Drosophila melanogaster: one gene and its partner. The protein of the gene in region 1 interacts with the protein of each later gene in a pairwise test. Each region holds a gene or a part of one and is shown on either strand. Other genes may lie near its edges.

Region 1 (5,931 bases):
ATAGCGATATCGAAACCCCATAGCCACAGGCCACATACCAGAGAGCACAGATCACAGCAAGTACCCTCCATATTAAGTACCATGGCCAGCTCCTGTCCCCGCGGCGCGCATTCAATGACCTTCGAATATTGCTAGGAAGGCCGACCTCCCCTTCGTCGTCGTTGCTGTCGTTGTTTTGGTTTAGGTTGAGCAATAGTCTAAGACCCGCCCGTTACCCTTCTCCATGTCTCCTTCCGGGCAGCATAAGTGATGGTGCCTGCGGCCGTCAAGCTGTTGCAGGCCTCGCTGGGCCAGTGGCGTCGAGGGAGCAAGCTGCATCCCATGGCCAAGGGCGCGCTCACGTACGCGGTCATGTGGCCGGCGGGCAGCCTGATCCAGCAGGCTATGGAGGGACGCAAGCTGCGTAAGTAATTAATCCGCACCAATCGCATCCATAACCGTTTCCTGCTCTTCATCCGCAACCTCTTTCCTCGCTGACGACGATCCGCAGGCGAGTACGACTGGGCCAGGGCGTTACGTTTCAGCTTGTTTGGAGCTCTGTACGTGGCGCCCACTCTGTACGGCTGGGTGCGGCTCACCAGCGCCATGTGGCCGCAGACTAATCTGCGCACGGGCATCGTTAAGGTAAGGACTCAGACTCAATCCGGCTCCTCAGTCGCAGCGGACCAAGCTCAACCGCCTCTTTGCAGGCCATCACGGAACAGCTTTCCTACGGACCATTCGCTTGCGTAAGCTTTTTCATGGGAATGAGCTTGCTGGAGCTGAAGACCTTTAGTCAGGCCGTGGAAGAGACGAAGGAGAAGGCGGCGCCCACGTACAAGGTATGGCCTATCCCGTTGCTTGCTGCTCCCCTCGCTAACATCCAACTCATTACTAACCCTCCAGGTCGGCGTATGCATCTGGCCTATCCTGCAGACCATTAACTTCTCGCTGGTGCCGGAACACAACCGCGTGGTGTTTGTAAGCATTTGCAGCCTGATGTGGACCATTTTCCTGGCGTACATGAAGACGCACCACGAGGAGCAGTCGAACTCCGCGGTTCTGCCTTGTACATAGTTACCTGAGTCGTATTTGTTACCTTTTGTGACTCCCAATTGTTAGGCCAATTGTTGAATTAGATAGCGGTAGCGTATGTTAATCCGTATTTTAATGGGGCCTGTTAAATCCATTAGCTGCTTAGGCTAGGCGGGGATCGTCCCACAATCAGCTGGCCCACCCAAAGCGACGACGGGGGCGAATAGCTATTTACCGTCTCTACAATCCAGTCCACGTAGGCCGACACCTCGGTGAAGACGCCCGGAAACGGTGGCCGTGCACAGGGCTTTATGCTCCAAGAAACAATGCCCACCTGGGTGTCGGAGCCAATAAGAAGCAGCGGGCCTCCGGAGTCGCCGCTGCACTGGCCTTTTCCACCTTCGGGCAATCCCGCACAGATCTGGCTGTCGTGCAGATAGGTCTGATGGCGCTCGCTGCACTCGGTATCGCTGAACACTTGCAGTTTGACCTTCTGCAGATGCTGCTGGACCACGCCGCCCGTCTACAATTGAAAGGTTCAGTCGATAGTCAAGGAGTCTGAAGGAGGAATGGCTTCTCTCTTACCGCATTTAATCCCCAGCCCGCGAGGACAGCACTGGCGTTTCCGGGCGTGACTTGTCGAGGCTCCGGCAGACGCACCGGCTGGACAAACTTGCTCAAAGCGACGGACTGCGCTAACTGCAACAATGCGATGTCGTTGACGTACTTGTCCTCCGGCTCGTACCCTGGATGGACGAAGATGGCGGCCACGCGGGCCACCTGGCTGGAGTTTCGCGCCAGCATCTGGCTGCCGTACTGCAGGTCGAGCTGCTCTGGCGAGGAGCCTCGCACGCAGTGGGCGGCTGTCAGGACCCAGTACGGGTTGAGCAGCGTAGCGCCGCAGGAGTGACGTCCGCTCTTCGCGCGTCGCAGCGAGACCACAAAGGGAAACTCCCCCGGGCCAGCTGTAGTGCCGTTGACGATTTTTCCATCCTCGCCAGAGGCTCCTGCCAGAAGGAAGGTTGCCGTGTAGAAAAGTGCGAGCCTTGCTAGCCAAGCCATGACGGCCATCTATGTGCACGGTTCACAGGTAGAGCAGGGCAATTTATGGAATATTGGGGCCCGCATTCGCTTGTGGGTTTTATGTGGGTAGAGCTGGCCATGCAGTTGTGGGCCTGAAGTATTAGCCATGCTAATGAGATGCCAACCGCGCGATTGTGACTCCGCAGGGCCGAGATTGCGATGGCGGGCCCACTTTTGTGGCAAAACTTCAAGGTGTTCGTCACCCGCTACCCGATTATGCGCGGCATGATATCGTACAGCCTGATCTGGCCCACGGGCAGCCTCATCCAGCAAACGGTTGAGGGCAGGCGCTGGGGTGAGTCGGCATTCTTTCGAGCAGCTCTCAGCTCCTTATCCTTCTCGTCTTCATCTTACAGGCACCTACGACTGGTGGCGCGTGCTCCGGTTCAGCATGTACGGTGGTCTGTTTGTTGCTCCTACCCTCTACGGATGGGTCAAGGTTAGTGACCGTTTACATGGCTGCTGTTTAGGTCTACTCCTATTCCGATTGCTCCTCAGATTTCCAGCGCCATGTGGCCGCAGACATCGTTGAGGACGGGCGTCATTAAGGCGGCGGTGGAGACGATCTCGTACACCCCCGGCGCGATGACCTGCTTCTACTTTATCATGAGCCTCCTGGAGTCCAAGACGGTGGAGCAGGCGGTAGCCGAGGTCGGCAAGAAATTCCTGCCCACGTACAAGGTACTCTTTTGGGATTCGAGGGAGAACTGCCGCCTAACCCACCAATTCCATCGCTCTTGCAGGTGGCTCTGTCCGTATGGCCACTGGTGGCCACCATCAACTTCACCCTGATCCCCGAGCGCAACCGGGTGCCATTCATCAGCGCGTGCAGCCTGTGCTGGACCTGCTTCTTGGCCTACATGAAGCACCTGGAGCACCACGAGGTGGACGGGGCCATTTGATGGACATGATCGTATTTCTCAAACAGCATTAAATAAAATAGTAATTATTGAACGAAATGAATGGAATTAAAAACCAAGAACGGTATTCTGCACTAAGTACTGGTCACACTGGGCTCACCTAGGGGTGAAAAAATATCGATTGTGCATGGGTTTGTTTTATATTTAAACAGCATTTTGCAAAATAGCCCCTCTTTCCGAAGATCAACAAGCCTAAAGTAATAAATTTAATAAAAAGGTATTTTGAAATAATTCGCGGTATATCGACCGAGCCCCACCACATTTCTTATCGACACTGTCCCATCGCTAGCCCCACCTAGTTGTTGCTGCATTTTTTGGGTGTGTGCGTTGTATTTGTTTACTGACAATCCCCAGAAAAGAAACTCCTCTGCTCCAACTGCGATCCCTCGAGACCCAGGACAGCAGCATGCGCGAACTTAACAAGCAGCAGTCGCAGGACACCACGGACTCGGGCGTCGAAAAGGGCGACTATCCGCGGGCCACCAGTAAGTGACGCACTCAAGCATGCGGGCCGATCTGCATTTGCATCCAAATACTTTCAATGCCCAATTCCCTTTCCAGATGGCGTGGTCTTCGGCGCCATAGTTACATTCGCCAGCTTTTTCGTGCTGATGATGTCCTTTTGCTCGCCGTACTGGATCGAGTCCTACGAGGAGACGCGGGCCAGCTTCAAGAACATGGGCCTGTGGCAGTACTGCTTTAAGGACTTCGTGTACCCCAAGTACGCGTTCTTGAAGCAGTTCACCGGTTGCCACAACATCTTCTCGCACGTGAGTACAGCAAACTGGCCGGTTCTTATCCTTGTCCTGATCTTCTCCCACTCGTACAGGAGTATTACGTTATCCGTGAGTATCTGCTGCCCGGCTGGCTCATGGCGGTGCAGGGCTTCGTGACCATGTCCTTCATCATCGTGTTCCTTGTGCTGGCCCTGCTCTCGCTTACCATCATCCGACTGCCTCTTAAGGCCGTTCTGCAGTACGAGTGGCTGCTCGTCCGCCTCTCCTACATGGGCACCGCCATCTCGTGTATGTATCTGCCTCCCGCCCAATAAGTACTAGCTAAACAGCGGTCTCCCACAGCTCTGTTCATGTTTTTGGCCGTATGCATCTTCGGGGGCTGCGCCTACCGCCGCGACTGGATGATGTACCCCAAGTTCAACGTGCTGGGCTGGTCCTACGCCCTGGCCGTTGTCACCTTCATGCTCCTTGGTCTAGCCGCTCTGATCCTGCAGCGCGAGGCCCGGCAAGCCTACGACGCCCGCGGCGAGCAGAAGAACCTGGTAATGCAAATGGAGATGCAGGAGCCGGGTTACCAGCCGCCGCGCCACCACCACAGCCAGTCGCGGAGCCTGCAGGGCTACATATAACAGCTGTCCGCCCGACTTCCATACATTCCGTTCCGATTGGATCTTAGCTTAAGTTTTCAGACGCAATCTCGTGCCTCGAATCTGCGCAATCGACGCCGTCCATAGTGCCTTTAACAATCGACCATATGTATCTATATACACGCCGACTCAGCCGAGATCAGCTCGTATCCGTTTGTAATTGTATTAAATAGCACGTACAGCTAAACGTAAGATCAGTGCGACCAAAAAGATCCACTAACTTTTTACACATCTACCATTATACTTTTTATATAGGCTCAAAAATGTTTACAGCTTAAATTTTTAGACCATATTCCACCTTTTATAAGCAAACTGGTGTAGAGACATATCAACATTGAATTAAATGTATTATTTGAACTTGCGAAGCTAAACGTACTGATCAGATTGATCATCTCCGCCCTGGTTTCCCCATCATGACCCCCAGCTACATGTTCCTGGTGATGAGGTGCGGATGTGATCTACACCTAATATGTTTATGTTTGCCTTATCGAACTGATAGCGCCTCCGCTGATTGCCAATTGTTAGTTTGGGCTGCTGGCTCCCAGACTCGACCCCTCGATTCAGTGAGTTTCGTGCGCTCTGTTTCTTCTCATCTGATCTGCGATGACTCAGTTTGGCCTGCACGGCTGCAGCTACATTCTGTTCTGGTTCCTTCTCGCCTGCGCGGCGGCGGACCTTCAGGAGAATCAGCAGTCGCGCATCATCAATGGAAGCGTGGCCAAGGCGGACGAGACGCGCCACCTGGTCTCCATCCGCCTTCTCCGCCACGACAACAACTTTGGAAGCGGCCACATCTGCGGCGGGGCGCTAATCGCGCCCAGAAAGGTTCTGACCGCAGCGCACTGCCTGTACAAGTAAGTAGTGATCCCACCATGGGGTGCCCGCTCCCTTTTGATCGAACTCATGCCAGCAGCAATCAGAGAAAGCGCTTTCGGCGGGCCAGCGAATTCGTAGTGGTTCTGGGCACGCTGAACCGCTTCGAGCACCGCAATGGCACCATCGTGTCCCAGGTGAGTTCCATGGCCTACATGCACACCTTCAGCCCGGACAGCATGCGCGACGACGTGGGCATCCTTTTTCTGCGCACCGGGCTGCCGATGTCTCCAGGCGGTGGTGTCCATCTCACAGTGGCCCCCATCCAGCTGGCGGGCCAGATCACGCCCCCCGGCAAGCTGTGCCAGGTGGCCGGCTGGGGTCGAACCGAGCAGGTGAGTCGGATTTGTAGAGCCGTAGGCAAGCCATTGAGCCCGCAGCTTATCTGACTCTTTCCCAGAGCTCCCTCTCCAACATCCTGCTGACGGCCAACGTGAGCACCATCCGGCACCAGACCTGCCGCATGATCTACAGGTCCGGCCTGCTGCCCGGGATGATGTGCGCAGGACGCCTGCAGGGCGGCACCGATTCTTGTCAAGGCGACTCCGGCGGACCGTTGGTGCACGAGGGCCGTCTGGTGGGTGTGGTCTCCTGGGGCTACGGATGCGCAGAGCCGGGACTGCCGGGAGTCTACGTGGACGTGGAGTACTACCGCCA
Region 2 (5,071 bases), on another chromosome or scaffold:
TCTGCCTACTCTAAAATCAAAAGAAGAAATTGAATAAATATATGTCAGCCCGACGGCTGCCTTCAACTTAAAACGGACTTGTGTTCTTAATTGGAGTTCATCATTACAATAGAGTTCCACAATAAAATGTTCAATTTATTGCATTGCGAATGTCACTTAAATGCATTTGTAATTTGTATGCACTTCTACACATAAAAACACTCCTTAAACCTAACAGCTAGCAATCGGTAGGTGCCTCTACAAAAAAGCGTAGAATTCTCTTTAAAACCTAATCCTATAGAAACTTCTGATTCCTATTCCTGAGCTTCGTCTCTGTCCCTATCCTTGTCCTTCTTCTTCTTCTTTTTCTTCTCCTTTTCTACTGGCTCTGCCTCCTCCTCAGCGGCTTCTGGGGCTTCCTCGTCGCCCTTGTGCTTCTTTTTCTTCTTCTTTTTGTCCTTGGAAGGAGTCTCCTCGGATACCGCCGCCGCAGCAGTTTCCTCAACGCTGGAGGTGCTTAACTTGCGCTAAAGGAACACAATTATTTAGCAAGTGAATACCATGTTAAACTCATTTTCAATAACATACTTTGCTGGGTTCACTGGAGCCATTTGTGGGGGAGACTTCTTGAGCTGCTGGCTTCTTGGCATTGTAGTCGACATAACCGGTCAGCCACTCCTTAGGTGTGTTTTCATTGGGCCTTCCGAACTTGTCTAGCTTGCCGGCGGCAATGAGCGCCTTCTTGGCCGACGCCTTTGGTCCCAATCCCCACTTGCGCGGGTATGTGTCTCGCTCCATGATCACTCGCTTGATCTTGGCCACCACACCATGGTCACAAGAGGCCATAGTGGCTGTGGTCATGAGGGCGATGGCCAGGCAAATGGCCTCACCCTTGGTGGTGCAAATGACGATCTCCTGATCGATTTCAATGCCATCCTCGTAGCGCAGGACACCGGGCAATGTAATCTTGGCACCATAGCAAACGGCGTTGACCTGGAGAAAGATTGATGGTTGTTAGTTGATATCATAAGGGGGTCCTTTGCTAGAGGAAATGTCGACCGAATATTCTTTGTCGAGCGCGCAGGATAAGAGCGCTGCCCAACATACACACATCAGCAGCTTTGCTGTTCCCAATCATAGTCACAGGTGCCCGTGGGGATTGCAGGCACCTGCCGGCTTAATATCATGGGGTACTACTTCGCAAACGGCAACTGGATGTCAAACTTACCGAACTGTCCTTCATAATAATGCGCTTGTGGTTGACCAGCAGACCTTCTAGCGGCTTGATCACACGTCGCAGCATAGACTCGTCCTTGTGGTTTTCGTACAGCCACATGGCGTCCAAAACATCGTGCATGGTCACCATACCATCGCGCTCAGACTGAATGCCCGAGCGGACACGGCGGAGCTCCAGCATCTGGCCACCGACACCCAGTACGAGACCAAGATGGACGCACATGGTACGGATGTAGGAGCCGGCCTCGCAACTAACCCAAAAAACACCTGAGCACGTGAGTGGGCAGAATTGGAGGAGAGAAAAAGACGAGGTTTTAACAATTACATTGTGCATTTGCTGTGTTAGGCAAATACTGGTGTTTCACTGGCTGAAGCAGGCTGCACCTCTGCAGGATAAACTAATCCAGCAGCGACGCACCAACTCTGAGCGAGAATGGATAAACAAAACTTCTGACTTACCCATATTTCGGGTTTCATCGTAGTCCAACAGCTTGCTGTCGTAGACAGTACGAACGCGCAACTGACGCTTTACGGCGGAGATGAGTGGAGGTCTCTGGAAGAGGGCACCACGCAGCTTCTCCAGGCCCTGACGCACCTTGGCCACCGACTCCACGGCTCCGTGCAGCTTGAAGATGGCCACGTACTCCTTGCCGGCGCTCTGCTGGGACTTCACCAGACGGGTGGCCCTGTCAATACAAACAATCAGGCAACCTGTAGGAAAAAAAAACACGCGGCACACAATGAGGTTAGGTTTGTATGGCGGTAGGCGAGCACGCGCTTCACTTACCCGTGACTTTGGGATCCAGCGTGCCGGAGTGGCCTGTCTTCTCCACCTTGAGGATTTTCTTGATCCAGGCCACCACCTCGTGGGAGCTGGGGTTCGACGGCTTGTCCAGGTTGATGAAGCCAGTCTTCATGTACTCTTTGATGTCGCGGTTCAGGGGCGACGATCCGTGCGCCAGCGGAGTGTAGTGGTTGGAACGGATGTTCAACTTGTCGAAGTTCTTCAGGAGCAGCGGCCATTGCGAGGTGTCCAGCTCGGCGATCTTGGAGGAGGGCTTGATTTGGAAGTTGCCCTGCTTCTGCAGCGTGCCAATGTCATCGCCGTCCAAGGGCTCCTCCTTGATCTTCTTCTTTTTCTTCTCCTTGCGTACTTCTGCGGGCGCATAGTCCGTTTATTTGGGCACTCTTTTAATTCATCACTTGCCAGACTTACCCACGTCGGCCATTTTATCTACGTTTTCTGCTAAATCAACTAATAGACGGAGAGAAACCTCCGCACGTGTTGCGCGCTGCGAGAAAATGGACGAAAAACACGTGGAGTGCGCGGTCTATCGATAAGTGTGACTACACAGAAATGTATTTCATGAAGACATCGATACATAAATGGAAATCTTGCGATATGTCATCGTGAGCCGAATTCCTTATTACAATTTTGAATTAAAAATATGTATTATTCATAAACAAAATGAATTTAAAGGTATTTACTTTGACGTAAACATTTTTAATCCATTAAAGCATTATTTAATTGAAAAGATATGTTATGTAAAACTGATACACTGTTTATAGTACGGTGAAAATGTTATGTCCTTAGAATCCACTTGTTTTTGCGATGAAAAGTCATACTACCCTACTTTTTAACTGACGCGTGCAAGCTGATTGCATTTGGCGGGATTTTGAAAATCAGAAACTGCTGAGTAAAAAATATCGAAATATTGATAGTTCCAGGCCCAATCGATACTATCGCCAGTGATCTACCAGCTGTGTTTCCCAACCGGTTGTTTATTTTTCTAAACTCTTAAATTAAATTAAAGTAATGTCGAGGCGAGGACTCCTACTAATGGGCCAGTGCATGCCCTGCATCAAGCAGAACGCCTCCAAGATCCGCATTCGCCGAATGGAGCTGGACAAGAACCTGAATATGGTGTGCATAATATACATTAGATCTCGCCTCAGGAGATTTCACACAATTTCCCTTCTGCTCGCAGTACTTTAAGAAGGACGAGTTCTACTTCGCCCACGATCCGCAGAAGGTGTGCAAGACCGGGGACGTGGTCCTGATACGGGAACTGCCAGAGCGCCTCACCCGCCTCATCACGCACAACGTGGAAAAAGTGGTCTATCCGCTGGGTGACATAACGGACCCGCTCACTGGCAAGAAGGTGGTCGTGGGCAATTACCGCGAGGACATCGAGATGGCCAACCAGCTGTTCGGCAAGTCAGAGAAGGCCTTCGACTACGAGAAGGCACCGCCCCGCGGTCGCCTGGAGGGAACCAAGGACTTCACCCACGGGGAAACATACATCAAGTACCACGAGGATGGCAAGGATCAGCCGTTCGCCGTTTAGAGCTCTGCCGGTCGTTTATCTGTTAAGTTTCCCCTTTGTTTAATAGTAAAGTGCATTAATATGACGTACATATGTTTCTCGGTTTTCTTATAAAATGGTTAGGCCGACGAAAGAAGATATTTTTATAGGTTTTTGATTGCTTGAATTGAATTAAAAAGGCAGGTTTAAAAGATTTCTCTACATATTTTATTTTAATGGTCGATAGTTGTTTTTTTTTTTTTGCATTTATTGATGATTTGTTGTGTATACGTATAAATGTATGCATTTTCAACTTCCTCTCGCTGATCAACAGTTTTTGATTATTTAATTTTTGAATTTTCCTAATTCAAACGATTTTTCCGCGCCAGGTGCCAGGACACATCCGCAACACCGAAACGTGCTGCACACGCACATGGTTTTAGAGTTCAGATTCGGTCCGTGCCATAAATTAAGCTGAATACTAATCACAATCTCTTACGATCCTAAAGTTGTACTGGAGTATGGGGTTTGCCGGGTGAGCGTTGTCGTCGCACAGTTTTTGCTGCAACGAAAAGGAGGCTAGAGTCGCTGGATTTCGCGTTAATGCGTCCGGATAACGCACCTGCTCCAGGTCGTGGCTGGCGCGGAGCATAAACTCCCGTAGGAAGTAGCCGCGGGCGGGAAGATCCAGGGCCAGGCTCAGTTTGTTCTTGCCCTGCTGCTTGAGGATCTTCACCCCGCTGGTGGACTCGGCCTCGTCATCCTCGTTCAGCTGGCCGTTGGCACTCGGCTTGGCCTGATCCTCGTCGACGCAGATGGACCACTGCAGCGGCTTGTTGGAGCTGTTGGATATAGATGGTAATAAAATAAGTGATTGTAAAGAATTCATTAGGAGTCAATGGAACTTTGAATGGGTTCAAGGGCAGTATGATTTTGTATGTAAACACATACTGCATTTGTATCTTTAAGATACTTTAAGATCTTACCGAATTCGAATACATTTGTTACAGAATAATGAAATAAAGTGTACCCAACTAACCTCAGATGGAGCTCCAGACTACTGGCCTGCAGATAGCGCGATACCGGAACCACATAGCTGACATTGAGGGAACTGCCCGAGGTGGGACAGAACTGCTCCACGTCAATGGTGTGGTTGTACTGGGCCGCTAGGACGCAACTGGCCACACTCCAGCAATCCAGCTGGAAGGGCGGCAGCACGGACTCGTCGGCCTTCGGCCCCTGATCCTGCCCAGAGGCGGATTGCAGAAGGCGGTAGACGGGATCGTCCTTGGCTGCGACCACCGGTTCGGTCTGCTTCTTGGTCAGGGCGTCGGTGCCGTGTGAGCTCTTGCCCAGGAATCCCGGCTGGGCCTCCAGCGCGGCGGAGGTCTCATTGCCTATTGAGACAGCGGGTTGGGTCTCAACGATGTCCGGATCATGTTCCTGCTCCTCCGCCGACTGCAGATCGTCCTCCACGTGCTGCTCCTTCACATTGGCATCCACATTGTCTGGCTGAGGATGAGTCGGCGGCAGTTCCTCGAAGCAAACGG

The links. Proteins that work in one complex are often made in the same cells at the same time.
Region 2: the proteins of pck (region 1) and mRpS17 interact in a two-hybrid assay, tested with the Drosophila melanogaster proteins (one large-scale study listed by BioGRID).

What each region holds. Positions count from the first base shown.
Region 1 is NC_004354.4:1,467,562-1,473,492, forward strand, and holds pck (pickel), read left to right. Parts: upstream 1-3,104; 5' UTR 3,105-3,234; intron 3,235-3,286; exon of another isoform or gene 3,287-3,306; 5' UTR 3,307-3,423; coding exon 3,424-3,502; intron 3,503-3,578; coding exon 3,579-3,787; coding exon of another isoform or gene 3,788-3,846; coding exon 3,847-4,042; intron 4,043-4,096; coding exon 4,097-4,383; 3' UTR 4,384-4,764; downstream 4,765-5,931. Other genes in the region: CG14777 (uncharacterized protein), read left to right, coding at 250-403, 491-624, 690-821, 886-1,056; CG32808 (uncharacterized protein), read right to left, coding at 1,169-1,537, 1,600-2,085; CG14778 (uncharacterized protein), read left to right, coding at 2,257-2,392, 2,454-2,536, 2,596-2,778, 2,841-2,999; CG14780 (uncharacterized protein), read left to right, coding at 5,005-5,255, 5,315-5,609, 5,675-5,931.
Region 2 is NT_033778.4:24,172,328-24,177,398, reverse strand, and holds mRpS17 (mitochondrial ribosomal protein S17), read left to right. Parts: upstream 1-2,957; 5' UTR 2,958-3,031; coding exon 3,032-3,139; intron 3,140-3,203; coding exon 3,204-3,563; 3' UTR 3,564-3,734; downstream 3,735-5,071. Other genes in the region: Nop60B (nucleolar protein at 60B), read right to left, coding at 294-506, 568-972, 1,208-1,482, 1,675-1,926, 2,003-2,371, 2,432-2,444; CG3328 (uncharacterized protein), read right to left, coding at 4,003-4,083, 4,144-4,363, 4,561-5,071.